Schizosaccharomyces pombe: one gene and its partners. The protein of the gene in region 1 purifies or fractionates together with the protein of each later gene. This does not show direct contact. Each region holds a gene or a part of one and is shown in the gene's direction. Other genes may lie near its edges.

Region 1 (4,123 bases):
TAATTTTTCTTTAGATCGAGCTTGGTGCATTGCGCAGAATAAGGACAATGGCTTGGTAACAGTCGGTTTTGACAATGGACTCATAACTTTCTCTCTTGGCCGTGACGAGCCTTCTGTTACTATGGATTCATCAGGAAAAGTTGTTTGGTCTAACTATAATGAAGTTATGTCCGCTATGATTAGACCGGCAAAAGAGCAGAGCGATCTTACAGATGGCTCTCTTATCAGTCTTTCTGTGAAAGAATTGGGTACTACGGAATTGTATCCTGCTGTTTTGAAACATTCACCGAATGGAAGATTTGTTTCCGTATGTGGCAATGGTGAGTATATTGTCTATACAGCTCTTGCTTGGCGGAATAAAGCTTATGGCAAAGCACTTGATTTTGCTTGGTCTGCCGATTCTAATGTCTACGGTAGTCGTACATCGGACCGTTCAATCGTAATTCACAAGAATTTTAAAGAAAGCAATAGATTAGATTTGTCCTACTCTTGCGACAAGATTTTTGGCGGCTTTCTCTTGGGAGTTGTGGGAAGTGATTTTATTTGCTTCTATGATTGGGATACTGGCATTTTAGTTCGTAAAATTGATGTTAAACCCAAAGGAGTTTATTGGAATGATGATGGCAGATTTGTAATTTTAGCTTGTGATGATGACTTTTACCTTCTCGGTTTTAACGCTGAAATGTTTTATAGTGCTGTGGAAAGTGGTACAGCAGATGAAGAGGAAGGTGTTGCTGATTCCTTTGAAGCACTTGCTGATGTTTCTGAAAGCGTAGTAAATGGCAAATGGGTTGCTGAAACTTTCATTTACACAACTACTGCCGCTCGCCTAAACTACTTGATCGGTGACCAAACTTACAAAATCGCTAACGTTGAAAGTAGTTTTTATTTGCTTGGCTATATTCCACGTGACGATCGTATTTACCTCACGGATCGTGATATGAATGTAGTGAGCTACTCTTTCAACCTTGCCATTATTGAATATCAATCACTGGTACTAAAGGGCGATTTAGAGGCTGCTCAAGGTCTTTTGGAGCAAATTTCTGAAACAGACCGTCCTCGTTTGTCTGACTTTTTGTCCCGTTTAGGATACAAGGAAGCTGCATTAGAGTTATCTGGTGATTCTGTACAGCGGTTTGAACTTGCATTAGACGCTCAACGATTGGATATTGCTTCTCAAATTGCTCAAGAATTAGATGATCCTCTGAAATGGCGTTCTTTGGGTGATGCTGCCTTGAATGCTTGGGATTTTGTTTTAGCTCAGGAATGCTTTGAGAAAGGTAAAGATTATGGATCTTTGGTTTTACTTTATACTGCAACCAACAATCACGAGGGTCTCAAAGAGTTATCGCAACTCACTAAGTCCACAAAGATAAATAATACAGCTTTCATCTGCTCATGGCTTACAAATCAACCAGCGGAATGCGTCAATATACTTACATCTACTCAACGTTATCCTGAAGCTAACTTGTTTGCTGCTACTTACTGCCCTGACGAGGTTAAAAATGTTCTTCCAGAATGGAAAGTTGACTTAACTAAGAATCAAAAAGAACGCATTGCGGATTCTTTGGGTGACTTGGAACTTAAAAATTAAGTAATACAACATTGGAACGCAAGTATTTTGACAGACACAGTATTTGTCTAAGTAATATTTTCACGTTTCCTAATTTGCATACTGATAATACCTTCAATCTGTGTTACGAATCCGTACGGTCGTACGTTTCACATACAATTTCAAATACGACATCTTCTGGTTGAGGCAAATATCAATGCTGTTACCACCTTTCGTTTGTAGATATTATTGCCGGTTATAAACATTTTAGCCATCATAAAATATCGATTTACTTTGTGATAAAAGTGCTTCAAATAGTTAAAGTTTGACACTACAAGTGTTAGTGAGACAGAAATGAATAGTTAACAAAGTGCATTTTTGCATACCAAATATCCAGACATGAATTAATTAATTTTACCAAATCGTATCAATAATATACTGTAAAAGCTAATACAGGATTTTCCTCTCGTATGTGATGTCTATAAGTAAAGTATCGCTTAGCCAACTACCAACACTTGTCATGAGTTTTTAAAAATGGACATGAAAGTCGTTCCATGGAGATTAAAGGAAGATTTCCTTTACTTAATGTCTTGCTTTTATAATGAAGGACAAGAAGGAATACCTGATTTAGCTGCTTTGTTTAGAGGTGTTGAAATTATTCAGGCTTGGTCAACCCGAGGTCGTATTCCCCATTCAGTGGAATCAACGTCGCAATTAGTTTCATCTTTAATAAGTAATGACCGATCGCAAAAGCTAGCATTAGCTGTTTCAATATCTAGATTTGTAAGTGGCTTGTTGGATCCTATCCAGCAATCGCAGTACGCCATCCCAATGGCTGTTTTAGCCAAATCAATTGATTTACCTACTTATTTTGTCGAATTGAGACACGCCATTACTCATGAAGAACTTCCTTCTCTACCTGTTTTAAGACAAGCTGCGCAACGAGCATTATCATGGCTTTATGATCACTACTGGAATCCCGCTGCAACAGCTGAATCCGAAGATACATATGACTACACCGAAACTAATGAATTGCATAAGTTCGAAATAAAAAGAAAAGTCAAAGACTTATTGAAACAATGGCGTTCCTGGAGAAAGGTTAATGTTTCTGCAAATATGTTTCTACCAGTAGAGGAACATGACTATATTCAACAATTTGAAGCATTAGTACAGGAGTTGGTAACAACAGCTAATCTGAGGTTACCTTATATCCCAGCTTCTTTCGTCGATGATGAAAAAGATTTGGATTTTGCAATAGAGACTACAAATCTAGATATTGTCGTCAGCTGTTTCTTGGAAAAGCGTGTTTTAATACCCTCCAGAACTATGCCAATCAGCTTTTTTCCAAAGCTTAAAAATGTATGGCTGCCTCTGTTACAAAGTATAGCTTCGAAGCATTCATTCTTTTTACCTGCATTATTTACAACCTTGTGGTCTGAAATTTTAGAGATTAGCCAAACCGTTGATTCTTTGGTATTTCTAGACCTCAAGGAGAAAGAAGAATTAACCGATAAAGAATCTGCTGGTTGCTATTTAGCAAAATGGTATGCTTATTTAATGCGTGAAGCGTATACAGGTCAGCCATGGACCAGTACTTTATCTGTGACTCAAACAGATTTGGCTTCCGTTTTAGAAATATGTCTTCAAAGAAGTGATCCCTTCACTAAGATAATTATTGATGAATTGTCAATTCTAGATAAAGAGCTGGAAAATAAGTTTTCTCCCTTGTTTCAATACCGCAGCGATATGTTTGATTCCCGAATATTGGACGAACAAGAGTTTGAAGACATAACATTAGAACAAATGAAAACGGAATTGAATAAATTTTCAGTTCGTTTAAATAACATTGAAGCTCAAGCTGACTCCAGTACTATGGAGTTTCAAGGTCATGTGTGGTATAAACCAAGCGTCGAGCCATCCCCCATCGGTCAAATAATCGAAAGTTAAAAAAAAAATTATATGTGTATATAAGGAAAGCTAGGTTGAATAGAGTTTATTTGGGTCTATATACACGAGGGTAATCTTGGGTCTAAAATAATAATATTAAGTTGCTGAATTGAGTATGGCAAAGCAAATTAAGTAAAATATAAGTACAATAGATGCCGTTTTGAATAATAGGTTGCACGTGATGATAGACGTGCGACTTACTTATATCGTGTAAATGCAGGTACGAGACTATTTATTCTAATTGAATACGACTCAAATAATCTGAACAATATACTTATATTACCAACACATTTTACTTGACATTATTACGAAATTGGGAATTTACCCATTTTACATGGCCACTTATGTTAAATTTTATGAGAGATTGGAATAGCTTTTTAAATTTATTCTTGAGAACGAACTTTAGCGCCGGCATTCGTGACTTTGACACCCAAAGCACGAGCCTTCTCAACAATCTCAACACGCTTGCGAGCAGAAACATTGGAAGCAATCTCGGCTGCATAAGTCTTGTTGTGCATCAACAAAAGTTCGACATCAGAGACATTGCGAACAAGGAAAGCTTTGAGACCATTAGGCATGCAATATCTGGTCTTCTTGTTGTTACCATATCCAATTTTGGGCATT
Region 2 (4,976 bases), on another chromosome or scaffold:
AATGGAACCTTGCAGCAAGCGGTTATCAAAAAAAGTGTCTTGTACAGATCTTATTGTTAAGCAAAAGTTTTCTACGGTAGTTTTGGGATCTCTGGAGCCTGATATATTCGTAAAATGTGAAGGTGTGGATTTACTCAAGAAAGCTGGAATAGTTGTTATCGAGAAACTGACTTTTCAAGACGATTGCTTACGTGAAGCAGTTCGTGGTCACCCCCCAAAGCACTAATTTTATTAATTTTTTTTATTCTTTAAACATTTAGACGACGTCGCTGGTATATGACTATCAACCCTAAATTATCGTTTTTCTGAGAGACTATTTAGGCCATGCATAGTTCATCATTTTTTTTGATCATTAAATTAAAATAACACGAAATTCCCCACATAATGATTTCTTTTTTCTATGATTTCTAAATCGAAAATAATTTCCTTCTTTGCTTTCTTCACTTACCCTGAGCAAATACCACCTGCGTTGGCCTAAGTGGCTGATTTGTATAAATCTGCTGTTAAAAACTTTTTGGATTTCTTTTTATTTTTGTGTTTTTATAATATTTAATTTGGATTTATCCGTTTTATACTCTGTTTTGTTTTTTTCAGAAAAAAATTTAACTCCCCTTTCAAAATGAATGCAGCCAAATCTTTATCTATTGTTCCATTCTTAGATTGTTTGTCAAGGCTTAAGACTACTCCACGTACTGGCTGGCTATATCATGGCATCGAAAAGCCGGAATCCATTGCCGACCATATGTATAGAATGGGGATTTTGACTATGTTATGTAATGACCCAAGCATCAACAAGGAACGTTGTCTAAAGATTGCCGTAGTGCATGATATGGCTGAGTCAATTGTTGGTGATATAACACCTCACGAGAATGTTTCGAAAGAGGAAAAGCATCGTATGGAGTCGGAAGCGATGGTTTCTATCACCCAGCAACTGATCCCCTTAAACCTTTCCTTACAAGCTGAGGAGATTAAAGAGCTATTTTTAGAGTATGAGTCTGCTTCCACTCCCGAAGCTAAGTTTGTCAAGGACATTGATAAATTTGAAATGATTGCTCAAATGTTTGAGTACGAAAGGAAATTTAATGGTGAGAAAGATTTGTCACAGTTCACTTGGGCCGGTAAATTAATTCAACATCCTCTTGTTAAAGGTTGGCTCAATGATGTGTTACAGGAGCGTGAGCAATTTTGGGCTTCGGTCCGTCAAAAGAAGCTTTAACTGATAAGAAAAGCGATACTTTCCCTGTATTTAAGTGTGCAGTTGAGAGAAACAGTTAAGAAGAAATATTTCTTAGGAATTCGCTCTAGTATCTTCAAGGCCCATTATTCAATATACCAATAGTCTCTCTTTTTTTTTATACATAGATACATTTAATAGAAGTTCAACATTAGAGCTTAGTTTAATGGTGCTATCTTCTGATATGTTTTTACTCTTCAAATGCTTTACTTTTCTAGGTTCTATCATTTACGTTCTCCCAACTTAGCTAAATATAACTTAAATACATCTACGATTAAGTCTTGTTTCTTTATAATTATTCGTTCAATAAAAAATGAATTCTTTACAGCACATTTCAAGAAGTTCATAAAATCACTTTGCTATCTGAATTTTTTTGTAGACTTAAGCTTTGAGGTAATTTACATTCCTTGGTCATTATAAAATACTAATATTGAGTTAAACATTCTCAAGTTTAAAAGGATTTTACTTCTCAAAAATTTTTAACCTTTTCTCCCTAGCAAGACTTTCCTTAACGCACGAGTAGTTCAGAACCTACACCACAAGCTCGAGATTTAGCAAGTAATTTCTTTAAGAAAACGGAAATATTGTTTTTTTGTTACTCCGTTGAATAAAGAAATCTTAGATGAGTGATTTATTAGAACGTGGCTCTCTTCCTCTTGTGAAATCTTGGTTGGCAATAACTTTTGCGAATGAAGAAGACTTACCATTTCAGGTGCCTCAAATAGCGGACATACTGGTACATCAAAAATGTATCGAAAGATTAGGAACGAGTGAAAATGCTCTTTCCGTTCGCAAGAATTGGTGCACGAGTTTAACAAAAATGTTACAATCAAAAGACTTTCGTATTCGCTGGTCAGCTATTATTCTCATTCACTGCACTATTTCTCAAAGTTGGGATTGCTTAGTAGAGCATGGAGCTACTTGGGCAAAACTTTTAATTGCTTTGTTAAACCGACCAGAAACTCCTAAAACATTGGAGATTGCCATGATAACCGTATCAAAAATGTTTAGCTCTACTGTAGGAAGACCAGCAGTTACAAGAGAATTGGTGACTCCTAATTTACCCACATTTGTGAATAATTGCTTACGAATCGCCGAATCTGGGAAGTGTCTTTGTACTGTTTGTTCTTGTTTGTATCAAGGGATCATCTCGCATTCACCTACCTTTCGTCCATTTGTTTCCTCAATAAGGAATATTTGCATTAAAATTTTAGATGGGGAAGAAGTAGTCCCTTCTTCATTACAGAAGAAAGCAGCTGTTCTTTATGCTTCGTTGTATCGATGTGTGGGGAAAGGAAATTTTGAAGACTATTGGAAGCAAAGTATTATTTCAATCCTAAAGGAATATCATCTTACTTTGGATTTTTTGTTTCAATTTGTTATAGAACCGCAAACATACCCAACTCGTGAAGAGAATTTGATGTTTCCAAAACTCAAAGGCCACTACGAAGAAACTTATCAGAAAGCTTTACACAGATGCAGAACTCTAAACTTGATTTTAATTTCTTTTTTAAGTACAAAGACGGATAAAATCGTTTTGCTTCCCATAAATGCTTTGAAGGATTTAATTCAACGTGTTTATACTGTACAACTTTCATTGCCTGTTAAAAGCGTAGAAAGTTCAGTTCAAGCTTTGCTATTCATGGTCCTTCCTCATTTGCATACGCTAGTTAATGAGTTAACCTTAAAGCTTTTTGTGGTAATTCCTCCAGCTATCATTCTTTCATTTGATTCTTACCTGGATTCATTAAATGATTGTTTACTTTCTGAGTCAACACATACTGGGGTTTTATGCTCTTCTTTAAAGTTACTTTCAAAGTTTTTGGATGTGACACATATGAATGTCCCTCTTTCAAAATACGAAAATATTGTAACGCTGGTATTAGAATATCTTGCTAATTCCTCTAAAGGTTTAGCATCCAAATCCATAGAGTTCTCTAAAAATCGTGGGCATTCTCAAAAAAAGCGAAAAACACTTTCTGAAAGTCAAGCAGGAGATACACTTATGAGTTCGGAAGAGTCTCATCAGCTTTATGATTCAGATGTCATGGATTGTTGTTTTTCTTTTTTAGCATCCATTTTGACTCATTCAATAGCATTACCACGTTTATTACGGACCAAAATAGATCTTTGCACCTTGCAGATATCTTTGTCTAACCCTACCTCAACAGTTTTGATATCTATGCATAATTTACTCCTTGCGTCAATTTTATCACCGGGAGATTCACAAGCAGTGATAGTACCTCATGCAATACGTATAATTTCTGGTCCATTAGGGCTTGTACATCCAGATCCTCTGGTCGCTTCACACGCAAGGTCATCGATGCAAACAATAGAATCGCTGATTCATCCTAGGTTCCCACCTTTGCAAAAACATCTTTCACCAAGCGAATTTGAAAATACGTTTGAGTCAAGATTTGAGCCTGTTTCTCTTGAAAACCAATCGCATATTTCTCCACCCCAGGTGGATTCTCAATCAGAGTATAAAGAAAGTAGTATTTTGGCTCCATCAAATCCTCCCTTTGAAACAGAGTCGATTACAGATTCCACTGAAATTGAAGGGATCAAAGAGTCTTTTGCATCTACAGATACAGGCTTACAGAATAATTCTACAGCTACCTCCGAGAACAAAAGAAGCGAATCAGAGCTGACTATGTCTAATGTTCTTTCTAATGAGGGTGACAGAAATGAAGAAGGTAGTGAAATCAACTCTTCTCAACCTTCAACTATTAATCACGGGACTGATCACATTAACATTGTTTCGGAAAACAAGGAAACAACTGTTTCACTGTTGCATGGAGATGTTGAGGTTGAGGAGACTACAAATGTTGCATTAAACAATTCTCAGGACACTGAAACCAAATTTACTGCTATAGACGTTGACTTTGTTGACCGACCTACTAGTGTAGTTTCAAGCCAAATTGAAAACATAAATGGTGATGAAAATGGAAACACAACTTCTTCAGTCGTCGAAACTTTTGAAAAAACAACGGATGTCGTAGATGAGAAAACGACTTCTATTAATGTGGAAGGAAACGGAGAAGATGATGAGGAGGAAGACAATATCTCTTTGCCAAGTATAAACTTGGAATCTGATAGTGATAGTTAGTCTTAATTTATAAAAAGGATTTGGGGGTACTGAATGTTTATTTTAAATTCTATTTCTAGATAAGTAGGTTGTCATTTAATCCAAGCTGATTTTTATAAAGTCCTGTATGTATTATCGTCATGGCAAAAAAGGTACATCAAGCTGATATTTGGAGGTTAAAATCAATTGATTTTGACCTCCAGAATACATTGCTTATGTGTTCTCCTTTTTAATTAGCTAAATTTTCCAGTAATACAAAGTACAAAGTCTTGTGTTATCCGCAAAAATTTTTAATTAATCATTTTTATACCATTGGTGTCACAAAAATCCCGATTATTTTAGAGTTAGACTGTCGTTTATGTTTTTTGAGAAAGAATTAAAACAACTTATCTAGTCTAGTGTTTAAAAGAATTTTATACTGTTTCATTAAGAATAATGAAGATATCCCTTTCCAAAGGCAAAAGAAAAGTCGATAACTATATAATGCAAGCTTCTAAACAAACTTGAATTAGTGATTGCAACATTTCTTTTGCCAACAATATTTAAATCCTTCATTGCTTGACACATGGTTTTATGAGAAAAATTAAGAAAGAACATTAAGTACTTCAAATAAATTTGTTGAAGGATCCAAAATTCTCCAAATAGACTTTTTTT
Region 3 (4,206 bases), on another chromosome or scaffold:
TAGTTTCTTTCTCAGTCCATTTTACTCGAGGCTTTCTCACTTTCGTAGGCTTTCTCTCGAATCCTGGAACATCTTGAGCTACCTCCCTTTTAGAGGGATTTTCAGCTGCCAAAATGGACCCATTCAACAAGTCGACAGAATGCTCATCCATAAGATCTGATGAAAACCCTGGAGGTTTCATAGACCTCATGGTCAACTTGATTACAAAAGAGAAGTTACGATATAATTTTTTATGGGGTTTTTGGTTATGTACAAGAAACCTTCAACAATTCCCTAGTGGTGACTCTAATGTACAATTAGATGTTTCAACGCCTATATATATATGCAAATGCCAAGTCAGGAAATCAATAACAAGAAGTTCGTGGCCCCCACATTGGCCACCATAATGTTGAGGTGAGTAAACAAACCAACAATAGGTTAGCTAAAAGACAGTTGATACATCTTTATTTTTTATAAACATAAAAATCTTAAAAAAATACAGGTTATACTGAATAGACATACTCTGAATTGAACTAGCTTAACATTTAATTTTCAAATTCCAGAATGGTAAGATGTTTAAATAACTGACCAGCTTGTACATATAAGCAAAGTAGTAACTAAATGTAGTTAGTATATCAGTTTGGCCTAACGCTAATTCTTAATGCCGTAAGTTTGAAAAATATTAGCTATCTGTTTGTAACTAAGATTCATTTGATGCTTACTGAATAATTCGAATAAATCATGTGTACTTAGCATATGCCTTATTTCAACATTTTACCGTGATGTGGGATCGTGCTGATTTCTCATAGTTTATACACTAGGCAGGAACACCACCACTTCTTAATTCCTGCATCCACACTTTATCCACTTAATTATTGCCAAATTACCTAAATGAAATGATAATAAATGATTTACATTAATAATACTCATCATGGAATCATCACTTGACAGACTCAACTTTGATGAGTTTGTTGCTAAACTGTTAATTCACGAATCTAAAAAAAAGAACAAGTCGTTTGTCGACCATGGCTATATTGAAAAGGAAAAAACAAAACTTCGCCCTAATAAAGTTTTTTTGAATAATATGGTGAGAAATGTTCAATCCCATAATCGTGGAATAAATAATCGGAGACGTGACCAAAAGCGTAAGCAACTCATAAGCATTAAACAAGATAACGATTTAAATGTCTCCTCAGAAAGGTTGTCTAGGAGAATCGATGTTCCTCGGCCCACTAGTAAGAAAAAAAGACTTTATAAAGAAACGCCGGATTTAGATGAACCGGGGTCTCGTGAAAAGCGTGTTAGCCAGAAAGGGCAATTAAAAATTGAGAAAGTTTAATCTTAAATTTTTAATAATGTCTCCCAGAAAATAATAACTATATTTCTTCATTTCTGATTAATCTCTTTGTGTGGTTTCATTTGGGGATTTTATATATCACCACTTGAGCTTATCATTATACATTATACATTTTTATCCAAAAACGAATATCATTTAAAAATATCACGTTCAAATCCTTCAATTCCTATGCCTTTTGATTGAACCGTTTAGTTATTTTTAACAAACTTTAAACGGATGATCCTCATATTGACACCGAAATTTGGCTTAATCTATATTTATACATGCATTAAAATATTGTTACAAATGTTTAAGAATTAAATCAATTCTTCTGTTAGCAATAAAGTAACCTTTTCTTGGTTAATTGAAAAGCATTGCATGAAATCGTGTAGCGAAAATGTAAACATTAAACATATTTACACCACTAAAGTCAGAAATTTTCCAACAGTATAGTCGAAATCAATATACGTTTGATTGGGTACAAATAAAACTAATATAGTTTCCAAACAGCCCATTATATCAATTTGGAAACGTAAATAGCTGACTTAGATAATTTGTCTACAATTATGCTTGCTCTAGAAAATAGAGTAAACAGTCATTTTAACGAAATGCGGTTGAATTCGGTTAATTTAGCAATGTAGTCCAACACGACTTTTCTTGCAAATTTCGCTTTGTTGCTAACATTTCAGTTCAGCGATTTGCGTTTATTCAACACGCATTTCAAGGTTTATGGAGCTGCTTCTTTCTGGCTGTGAAGCTATTGAGGGTGAACCAAGTAATGTTCTATGCCACAATCTACATACCGGTACCCTGGTGAGCACATTCCGTCAAAGCTCACCTGCTAAAAACGCGACATGTACTACTTTGAATCATTTGCTATCTGCTCAACATACCCGTCCACAGCTGAATATTCACAATTTTGGAAAGGTAGGTTCTCTCTGCACTGCATTAGTTGTACGCTTACTTCGTTTATAACAGCAGTTTTACAGCTAATTTCAAGCTAAAGTAGCTAAACACATTTTAAATGAGTAAAACTAATACAAGTGTAGGAAATTTTGGATCAATCAATCATTTTACCTGAAATACTTATTTGTGTGCAATCGAGTCCTTGTGGTTCTTGGCTGGCAGCAGGCACAGAAAAAGGAAATTTGTACATATGGTCATTAAAATCCGGTGCTCTTATTTATTTCTTCAGAGCACACTACCAACCTTTGACCATTTTGAAATTTTCCAATGATGGTATGGTTTTATTCACTGCTTCCAACGATGGTGATGTATTCGCTTGGTTGATAAGCACTTTGGTAGACCAAAACTCTACTTTTGAAACAAGTAATAGTTCAGTTAAAGCGATTTCTCATTTCTCTGGTCATAAGCGTTCTATCGTGTCTATGGAAATTGGCCCTGGTCCCATCGTTAGTGGTCGACTTTACACGGCTTCGGAAGACAACACAATAAGGATTTGGGATGTTTCTACAGGAAACCTTTTGACAACGATTGCTCTTCCCTCAACTCCCAGTTGCATGACCGTGGATCCTTCCGAACGTGTTGTCTACGTTGGTAACGAAAAGGGAATAATATGGATTCCATTATACACAGGATCATCCACTTTTTCTAACAACGTTAAAGAGAAAAAAAGAGTTACGTCTGTTGATAATACTACTATTCCAAACGCCATCGGAGGTATGGGTCGAGTTGTAGATTATAACGACAGTAGAGAATCAAGTATTATATCGTGTCAATCCCCAATAACCACGTTGACTGTTTCCTTTGATGCTTCTCTACTCATTAGTGGTGATAAGGATGGTAATGTTTTGGTTTGGGATAGTGTTTCTCGACAAGTTTTGCGCCGCCTCGTTCAGTATTATTCGCCGGTCTCTTTTCTTCAATGCAAGGTCGACAAGATATCATTTTATTCAAACTCTTCACTTTCTTTTCCAGTTTTAAAGCGCATGATTACAAATGAGTACTTAAATTCAGATGTTCGAATTTGCATTCAAGATGATGGGGTAGAGCAGCTGATGCAACCGGAAAATATTCTCAAAATCAGCTCTGATATTGTCGTATGTCCACTTCTTAAAGATTTTGAACTAACATAATTTTTAGACACAAGGCTCAGAGTCCAGTTGGCGTGCCAAAGCTGAAACCAGTGAAATGCAGCTCAAGGAAGCAAAAAGATTATTTTATGAATTAAAGCAAATTCATCAAGCGTTATGGGAAAAATACCTGCAAAAGTAACTTTTTTTGTTAGGTTAAAAATTTGAATAAAATTATAAGGGATTGGAATAATTACACTTTTGTAGCAACGGGGTTCTAATTGTTGTAGCCCTTTTGTTATAATCTCATTGGAAAATTTTATTAAATATGTTGAATTAATTTTTTATCGTTAACTATTTTGTTCTCTGTCTTCAGCTTTTACTTGTATTAGTGTCGAGAGCAATCATCTCAAGCAAAACATCGCCAATGTAGTCATAGAATTCATCGATATATTTTCCTAACTTGTTAAAATTTTGTTCTAAGTCAAGGTTTCCATACCTGCTGAAAAGTTAGGTATGCCGCTTTCGGTCATTATGCTATTCATTAAATGTCGACAAGGCTCATGTGAAGGGAGATAATTTCGTGCATGCTGAAAGTCTTAGTTATTATTTATTTCCATTTGAAAAGATTATTTTCTCACTTCTATCAGGTAGCTAACATAGTCGGGGTCATGAAGCTCTTCATTAATGCTCATATTCATAATTAAAAGTATAGCTCCCGCTTTGCCAGAAAATTTCTTCCAATTCAAGTCCAAGTAAGAATTCAGCAAATACGATCCATATTCAGAACCCACAAAGTGTATTTTAGTGCTCACTGAATTGGACATTACATAGTTTAACCCTATTGACACATAGCTC
Region 4 (6,288 bases), on another chromosome or scaffold:
CAATTTGTTATCTAACGTATAAGGACGCTCTCTTTAAAGATTATGGCAAAGATGAATGGGTATATTTTGGAGTGTGGTGTGCTATTTGCCTGATGATTTTTATTTCTTTATGGTGTAAGTGACACGATAGGTCAATTCTTACGTTCATTCACTAACTCATTAGGCTTCTTTGAAACTTGGACCAGGCAGTGGCACAATGTGTCAAGGTAACTGCGGTCGGCTTGTACAACTCAAGGGAAAAATGGGTTGTAATAATCTGGTTATTATGGGTAGTCATTTGTTTTGTACTCTTTGGTTGCGTCAAATTCGGTAATGTGAACTTAGACAAGACTCTCATCTGTTCTACATGCAGTATTTCAGCTGCTTTACTTTTATTTTTATTATATGGTATGTGAAGTTATGTAGTTACCATTACTGACCGCTAACACGCAGTTCGTCTTCCATTCTGGACACTTAAGCATATGTTTTCTGGGTTTTTTCAAGTTCTAGGTGTACAAAGTTGTGTCGTTATTGTAACGAAAGGTTTGATGCATTTATTTGACAAACATATCGACGGGACAGGCTACGAAATTGTAGCCTCTTCACTCTTTGTTATAGGCAATTTTCTTTTCTTTTACGAAATGGGTTTGTTTAATATTCCTGTAATTTATTCTAATCGTATCAGAATGTCCAGGTGCTCTCAAAAGGATGCCCAAATTTATCAGGAATGGTATAGCTTTTATATTAGGTATGTGTATTCAACCAACTGTATGAATGATTCTTTACTTACCCGATTAGAAGGTGCAGGGAGAGCGATTAGAGGTGCCAACGATAATAATGACATTCCCTTGGGGGAAATGGAAGTTGAAAGCGAAGTCTAATTGCGTTATTAATGTAGTTGTCGCTCCAGTTGGAAAACCTCTTTACCAAAATTACCAACGCAGAGAAGCTGCGGCTTTTTTAAAAATAAGCACCAATTTTCTTTAATCATCCTCTTTCACTATAAGGTTATGGAATATATGCTTAACTTATTCTTTCAATTACCAAAAATTGCCAACCAATGTATTCTACGATGTTGGATAAAGTGCATTGAGGACCGAGTCTTTATTTATTATGTATGCGAGTCTAATTATTTGTCTTTTTTAATGGAACTCAAGTCACAAACAATAATGATTTAAATTGTTTACGACAACTTAAAATCAACTAATGAAATCGAAAAACTCGTTGTTCCGCCTTGTTAAATTCACAATTTCATTGTCGTTATTACGTTCATTTCTCCTTCATCTTGATTCTTAATGAATCAAGCTTAATTATCATTTTTTCTTTTTGTTTAATGGTTCAATTCAAACAAAATTAATGTTTACAAAATAATGAATAGCATAATAAAATATTGTGATTCAGAACGATGGTTTGTTATAGTAATAACCTAAAGACACATTGCAATAGTGAATATCTAATAACGCAGTAAACGTATATACTGGTTTTATGTTGAGTTTCCTAATGATGCATAAGCTGAGTGGGCGATATGACTTTGATTGACACATATTTTGTGGAAATTTTCAATATATAAATCAAAGAGACTAATGATTTATATTCTAATACTTTTATCCACATCGAAAGCAACAGTTCATAACCTAACTGTTGGGTCAACTGATAGAATAAAAAAAACTCGGGTGTTCGTCCCAATTATAATTATCACTACAGTTATAGTCTAAATATCTATTAACTTCAATAACTGATTTTTAACGAGTATTATATTCTTTCCTTTTTTTCAAGGTATAACGATTAATTCTTCATTGTTTCAATATTAATAAGAAGCTACTAGTTAAAGCAAGCTGGTATTATCGTTATGTTACTACCAAAAAAGGAATACCGTGCTGTTACATTTTGTTATAAAAATATACCGTTAATCACTATTTCCCAAATTACAGATATCGTACTTTACTTGGTATTTCCTCTATTTACTCTTTCTCGCTGTGCAATAAGAAGAAAAAATTTTATTATCTGTTTACAAAACATAGCTAAATTTTCTAAATTAACTTTTGTTATTGATTGTTAGTTTATGGTGGATTGTTGTTAATTGAATTAAGATCCAAAGCGCTTGCTTGTTCACATTCGTGTGAATTGCACTTTTAAAAAAAAAAAGGAAAACTTAGTTATTTATTTAATAAGCTTCTACCATAATGGTCAAGCGTCAACGTATTGAGAGCTCAAATGGTAAGTGTCTTAGTTAGTCTTAAGTATTGGCTCTCTTATATCTTTTCTAGGATAATATTCTAACAGTTCTATGACAGTTCCACTCAGTGCATTCGCTGTGCGTCAATTGACTTTAAGTAAAGCAGCCAGAAAGAAAGACAATTCATCGGGGAAAAAGCGCAGCGTTTCGGAAGAAGAAAGCCAAGACAAATATGAAGACGAAATGAAAACTGAAGGCGAATTTCCTTCTTACAAGCACACGCTCGTACAAGTGGTTGTCCCAGGAGTTGATCATAGAACAAAGCTCCATTCAGAGTCATCCAAGAATGATTCTGAAATAACTCCTGATATAAATAGGTCCAAGGTTAATCCTCAGGAATACTCTGAATTCTCAGTTGCTAGTCCTCAAACGATTTCTCCGAGTTTACCTTTAAACTTGGACGACGAAACCGTAAGTGAAAACGTTCCACATAGCCCACAATCGTCTAACGATGCCATTCCGGTGATTAAAATTACGGAAGAAAATTCATTCAGGGTTAAAGATACGCTATACGTTGGATTACATAAAGATCAAAAATTAGCAATGGTTGGTACCTTCATTTTTCGTAGCGTTAGAGGGAAGTTTCAGCTCTTTGGTGCAACCTATTCTTCAGCTTGTATGTCTTGGTTTCCTTTAAATGCTCCGTTAGCATTTGCGACACCAGTATTTTCTGCTATAGACAATGCATTACCTGCTATGCAGATTTCCGAATATGAAGAAGATTCCCTTAACCTTCGTTCCTTTGCAGTTCCCTCTTACTCACCAAAAGAGCATGAATATGAATTAGAGCCCAAAGATATTCTCCCAAATTTTGAAACTGTAATAGCTTTTAGAGAAAATGAAAATGGTCTCTCTAAGATAGCTCGTGTCCTTCCATTTGCAAAGCGTTTGTTTTCTTTTAAGAATCTTTTGCAAGATGCCTCATCAATATCAAATAATTTTGAGATAACTCCGGAGTCTTGGTGTTCTTTTTCTAACCAGTTACTGTTTTCCACTTCCAAGTCAGACTATGTTGTTCCTCGTCTTATGGTTTGTGGACCTAAAGGATCCGGTAAAAGCAGTTTTTCACGATACATCACCAATAGGCTTTTACAGCAGTATCGTCACATTGCATATCTTGACCTCGACCCTGGTCAACCCGAAGTCGTACCTTCTGGGCACATTTCATTATATTATATTAACTCACCATTGCAAGGACCTGTTTTCGCCCGAATGCTCTTTCCTACTTACATGTTACGTTTGCATCTCGGAGATATAAGTCCCCAGAAAGATCCGGATCATTACATTGCTTGTGTTACTCGTCTTTTTGCTGAATATAAAGATTATATTTTTAATCAAGAGATATCCCAAAAGGAGATTATTCCTTTGATAATAAATTGTCCAGGTTGGATCAGAGGGGGTGGTGCTGAGCTTCTTTCTTCTATTGTTGATATATGTCAACCAACAGAAGTTGTATACATGAGTCGTGAAGACATGAAATCAAGTCATCGTGAAAAAAAGAGTATTTACCAGCACAAAGAATATATGCCTGATTTTCTTTCAAGCAGAGATGAGTTTCAACTTACCCTCTTGGAATCAACTTGGCAGTATCTGCCTGATCCCAACGTTAACAAGGTTACCTCTGCTGATAATCGTATGTTAGGCTTACTTTCCTATCTGTATTTCAATTGCAATTTACAGAGGTGGGACTTTACGACAAGTTTGACAGCTTGTCAACCTATAGCCACAGCTTTTAAGGGATCTTCTAAGGGAATAGATGCTGTTAATATTATAGGTGAACCTCTTAATGTTAATGATGTCGCGAAAACTATTAATGGTACTTTAATGGCACTTTATGCCTGCGACACTGCCTCTTTAGATAACAGTAACACACAACGGATTGTTAGTAGTCCTGAAGGGATACCATTAATCATCAATGATGGACTTCCTTTGGATCCCAATACGTCTCATTGCCTAGGTTTAATCGTGCTACGCACTATTGATCTCAAACGTAACGAATTTCATTTTGTTGGTCCTCTTAATCTTGAGCTTATTAAAGATGCCTATGCAAAGAGCTTGAAAATTGTCCTTGAAAGAGGAAGGTTAGAGCTTCCAGTGTACGCAATGTTGGATCACCGTTTAGCACAATACTCGGAATTGCCATACCTCGATCGAAATCACGATCGGGTGGCTGTTGGCGCTCATCGTAGGCGCGTTCGCCGTAACATTATCCGTCGTAGTACTTTCGTTGGATGATACCCAAATCTTATGTTTTACGAATTTCTGAAGACGGCTACGCTTTTTGCATACCTGCTAGAAATTATTTTGGGCAGCTGAATACAAACTATATGAAATATACTTTTTCTTATTTTTTTTTGGCGGTTAAAAAGGACAATAGTGAAATTTATTTATATTTATTGTTTCTTAAGAAAAAATCGTGATTTGAATTTGTTTTAGATTACTCCAATGCAAGTACAATTTACGTTCTTCGGCGAACTGGTCTGGGAACATTGAGTACTATGCTTATTGCGAGACTGCATATCGATGGTTAAGCTCCGATGGTCTTTTGTTGGCAGCAAAAGTTATGCATTAGGATACTTTCATACTTACTGCCATATCACTGGTATGTTGAGTTTTTCTACACTGTATATGCAAATTTATAAGGCATTTGAATTTTCACTATGTTTAAGAATCTACTTTGGTAATTTAGCATATTCTGACTAACGGTTTGAAGCTTGGTTTCGATATTCCGGATTACCGATTGACTATTTTAATTAACTTTTAGAGATGGTTTTGCTGTTGAGTTTTTTTGATTTTATTCAGAGTACATTTTCAATGGTTGTGTATCTGTATGTAATCATTCAACTTTTCAATTTTCCTTTCTCTAAAGGTGAGGAAAATTGGCTATTTTTTTCCACGTTTTGAAAGTGCCATAACATTTGAAGTATAGTATTTGCTTTTTCGTATAAATCCCTTCGAAGGATTCAGCTATGCAAGTGCACTGTTCTAGCAATTGGGGAATGTGATTGTGTGGTTTTCTTTTTTTGATACTGAAATTCTCTCGTATTACTTGATTTCCCAAAAACCAATAGACTATACGAACGACTTGTTGAAAGCAGCGACACGTATGTTTGTATATTAAATACCATTGATAATGAGTCAAGCTGTTTGAAGATGTTGTCAGTAACTTTTCTTTAATGTACACATAATCATATAACAGTTGCTTTGCTTCATCTTGAATTTTTGAGCTCTTGTAAGTTGAAGAACGCTCAAGGTTTGATGATTCCTTTACATAATGCAAATTGGCATATTCCATGTTTATGATGCTTTGCAGACAGTCGACCATTCTACAATAAATTCGATACGTCGCCGAACGTACGCATCGTTTGAGAGATTTGTAGCGCCTGTTTTTGGGCCTGAATAGTCTTTTCGCTATAAAATTGTGCATTTAAAATGGAATCGAGCGGCTGTTAAGAGTGTTGTTTTAAAATTTAAAATATAAAAGAATGTTTAATTGGTAATATTACCAAAGCAATATATCAATTAGTACCTTGACTGATTTATTATTGCAGATGTTTTATATCTTCGTTTGGTAGTGTTGAAGTTTACGTGACTAAAGAAGTTGTTGGTAAATAGTTAAGTGTAAACAATGAAGTGAATAGTATGCATGTGAGTATTACTAGTTTTTTATTTTCATAAAAGCTAAACAGTAAATCTATTAATCATTCATATACTTAATGACTTTAATTGAATCCCCAAAGTCGTTATGATGAACCTAAAATTTGTCAGTTCAGTTAAAAAAGTTGTTTCAAGTTTTTTATAATTGAAAGTAACAACAATAAAAAGATAAAGGTTATTGATATTCAATTAAGTCGATAATTTCTAAATCTCCTACTGCAATCATAATTGCTAGAAGTACGCCTTATTAACACATACTATGGAAACTAAGAGTGAGCATTATAAATTCGATATGACTCTTCTTCATATTTGCTATTGTATCTTGTAGCAATGAGAGAGACATATAGTTAGTGGATGATTTTCTAAAAAATAAGCTCAGAGAACTAAAGTAAATGGTTATAGAACAAAAAGGAAAG

What was found.
Region 2: the proteins of las1 (region 1) and rix1 purify together in Schizosaccharomyces pombe (affinity purification with mass spectrometry, with the first as the bait; one study listed by BioGRID). This does not show direct contact.
Region 3: the proteins of las1 (region 1) and crb3 purify together in Schizosaccharomyces pombe (affinity purification with mass spectrometry; one study listed by BioGRID). This does not show direct contact.
Region 4: the proteins of las1 (region 1) and grc3 purify together in Schizosaccharomyces pombe (affinity purification with western blotting; one study listed by BioGRID). This does not show direct contact.

The regions. Positions count from the first base shown.
Region 1 is NC_003423.3:4,352,039-4,356,161, reverse strand, and holds las1 (rixosome complex/ Las1 complex endonuclease Las1), read left to right. Parts: upstream 1-2,051; 5' UTR 2,052-2,086; coding exon 2,087-3,499; 3' UTR 3,500-3,619; downstream 3,620-4,123. Other genes in the region: sec27 (coatomer beta' subunit protein), read left to right, coding at 1-1,594; rpl3201 (60S ribosomal protein L32), read right to left, coding at 3,883-4,123. UniProt on the Schizosaccharomyces pombe protein: Required for both pre-rRNA processing and heterochromatic gene silencing.
Region 2 is NC_003421.2:435,304-440,279, reverse strand, and holds rix1 (ribosome biogenesis protein Rix1), read left to right. Parts: upstream 1-1,760; 5' UTR 1,761-1,856; coding exon 1,857-4,343; 3' UTR 4,344-4,476; downstream 4,477-4,976. Other genes in the region: rib2 (bifunctional CMP deaminase family methyltransferase/riboflavin-specific deaminase), read left to right, coding at 1-226; hdd1 (metal-dependent HD domain-containing phosphohydrolase), read left to right, coding at 620-1,216.
Region 3 is NC_003424.3:2,309,730-2,313,935, reverse strand, and holds crb3 (rixosome complex WD repeat subunit Crb3), read left to right. Parts: upstream 1-2,007; 5' UTR 2,008-2,044; coding exon 2,045-2,242; exon of another isoform or gene 2,243-2,364; coding exon 2,365-3,375; exon of another isoform or gene 3,376-3,418; coding exon 3,419-3,550; 3' UTR 3,551-3,665; downstream 3,666-4,206. Other genes in the region: teb1 (Myb family telomere binding protein), read right to left, coding at 1-190; SPOM_SPAC13G7.09C (uncharacterized protein), read left to right, coding at 911-1,318; arb2 (argonaute binding protein 2), read right to left, coding at 3,721-3,806, 3,848-3,938, 3,990-4,206. UniProt on the Schizosaccharomyces pombe protein: Required for both pre-rRNA processing and heterochromatic gene silencing. Component of the RIX1 complex required for processing of ITS2 sequences from 35S pre-rRNA.
Region 4 is NC_003421.2:2,181,645-2,187,932, forward strand, and holds grc3 (polynucleotide kinase Grc3), read left to right. Parts: upstream 1-1,955; 5' UTR 1,956-2,162; coding exon 2,163-2,196; exon of another isoform or gene 2,197-2,273; coding exon 2,274-4,450; 3' UTR 4,451-5,078; coding exon of another isoform or gene 5,079-5,510; 3' UTR 5,511-5,745; downstream 5,746-6,288. Other genes in the region: protein mug128, read right to left, coding at 5,079-5,510. UniProt on the Schizosaccharomyces pombe protein: Polynucleotide 5'-kinase required for both rRNA processing and heterochromatic gene silencing.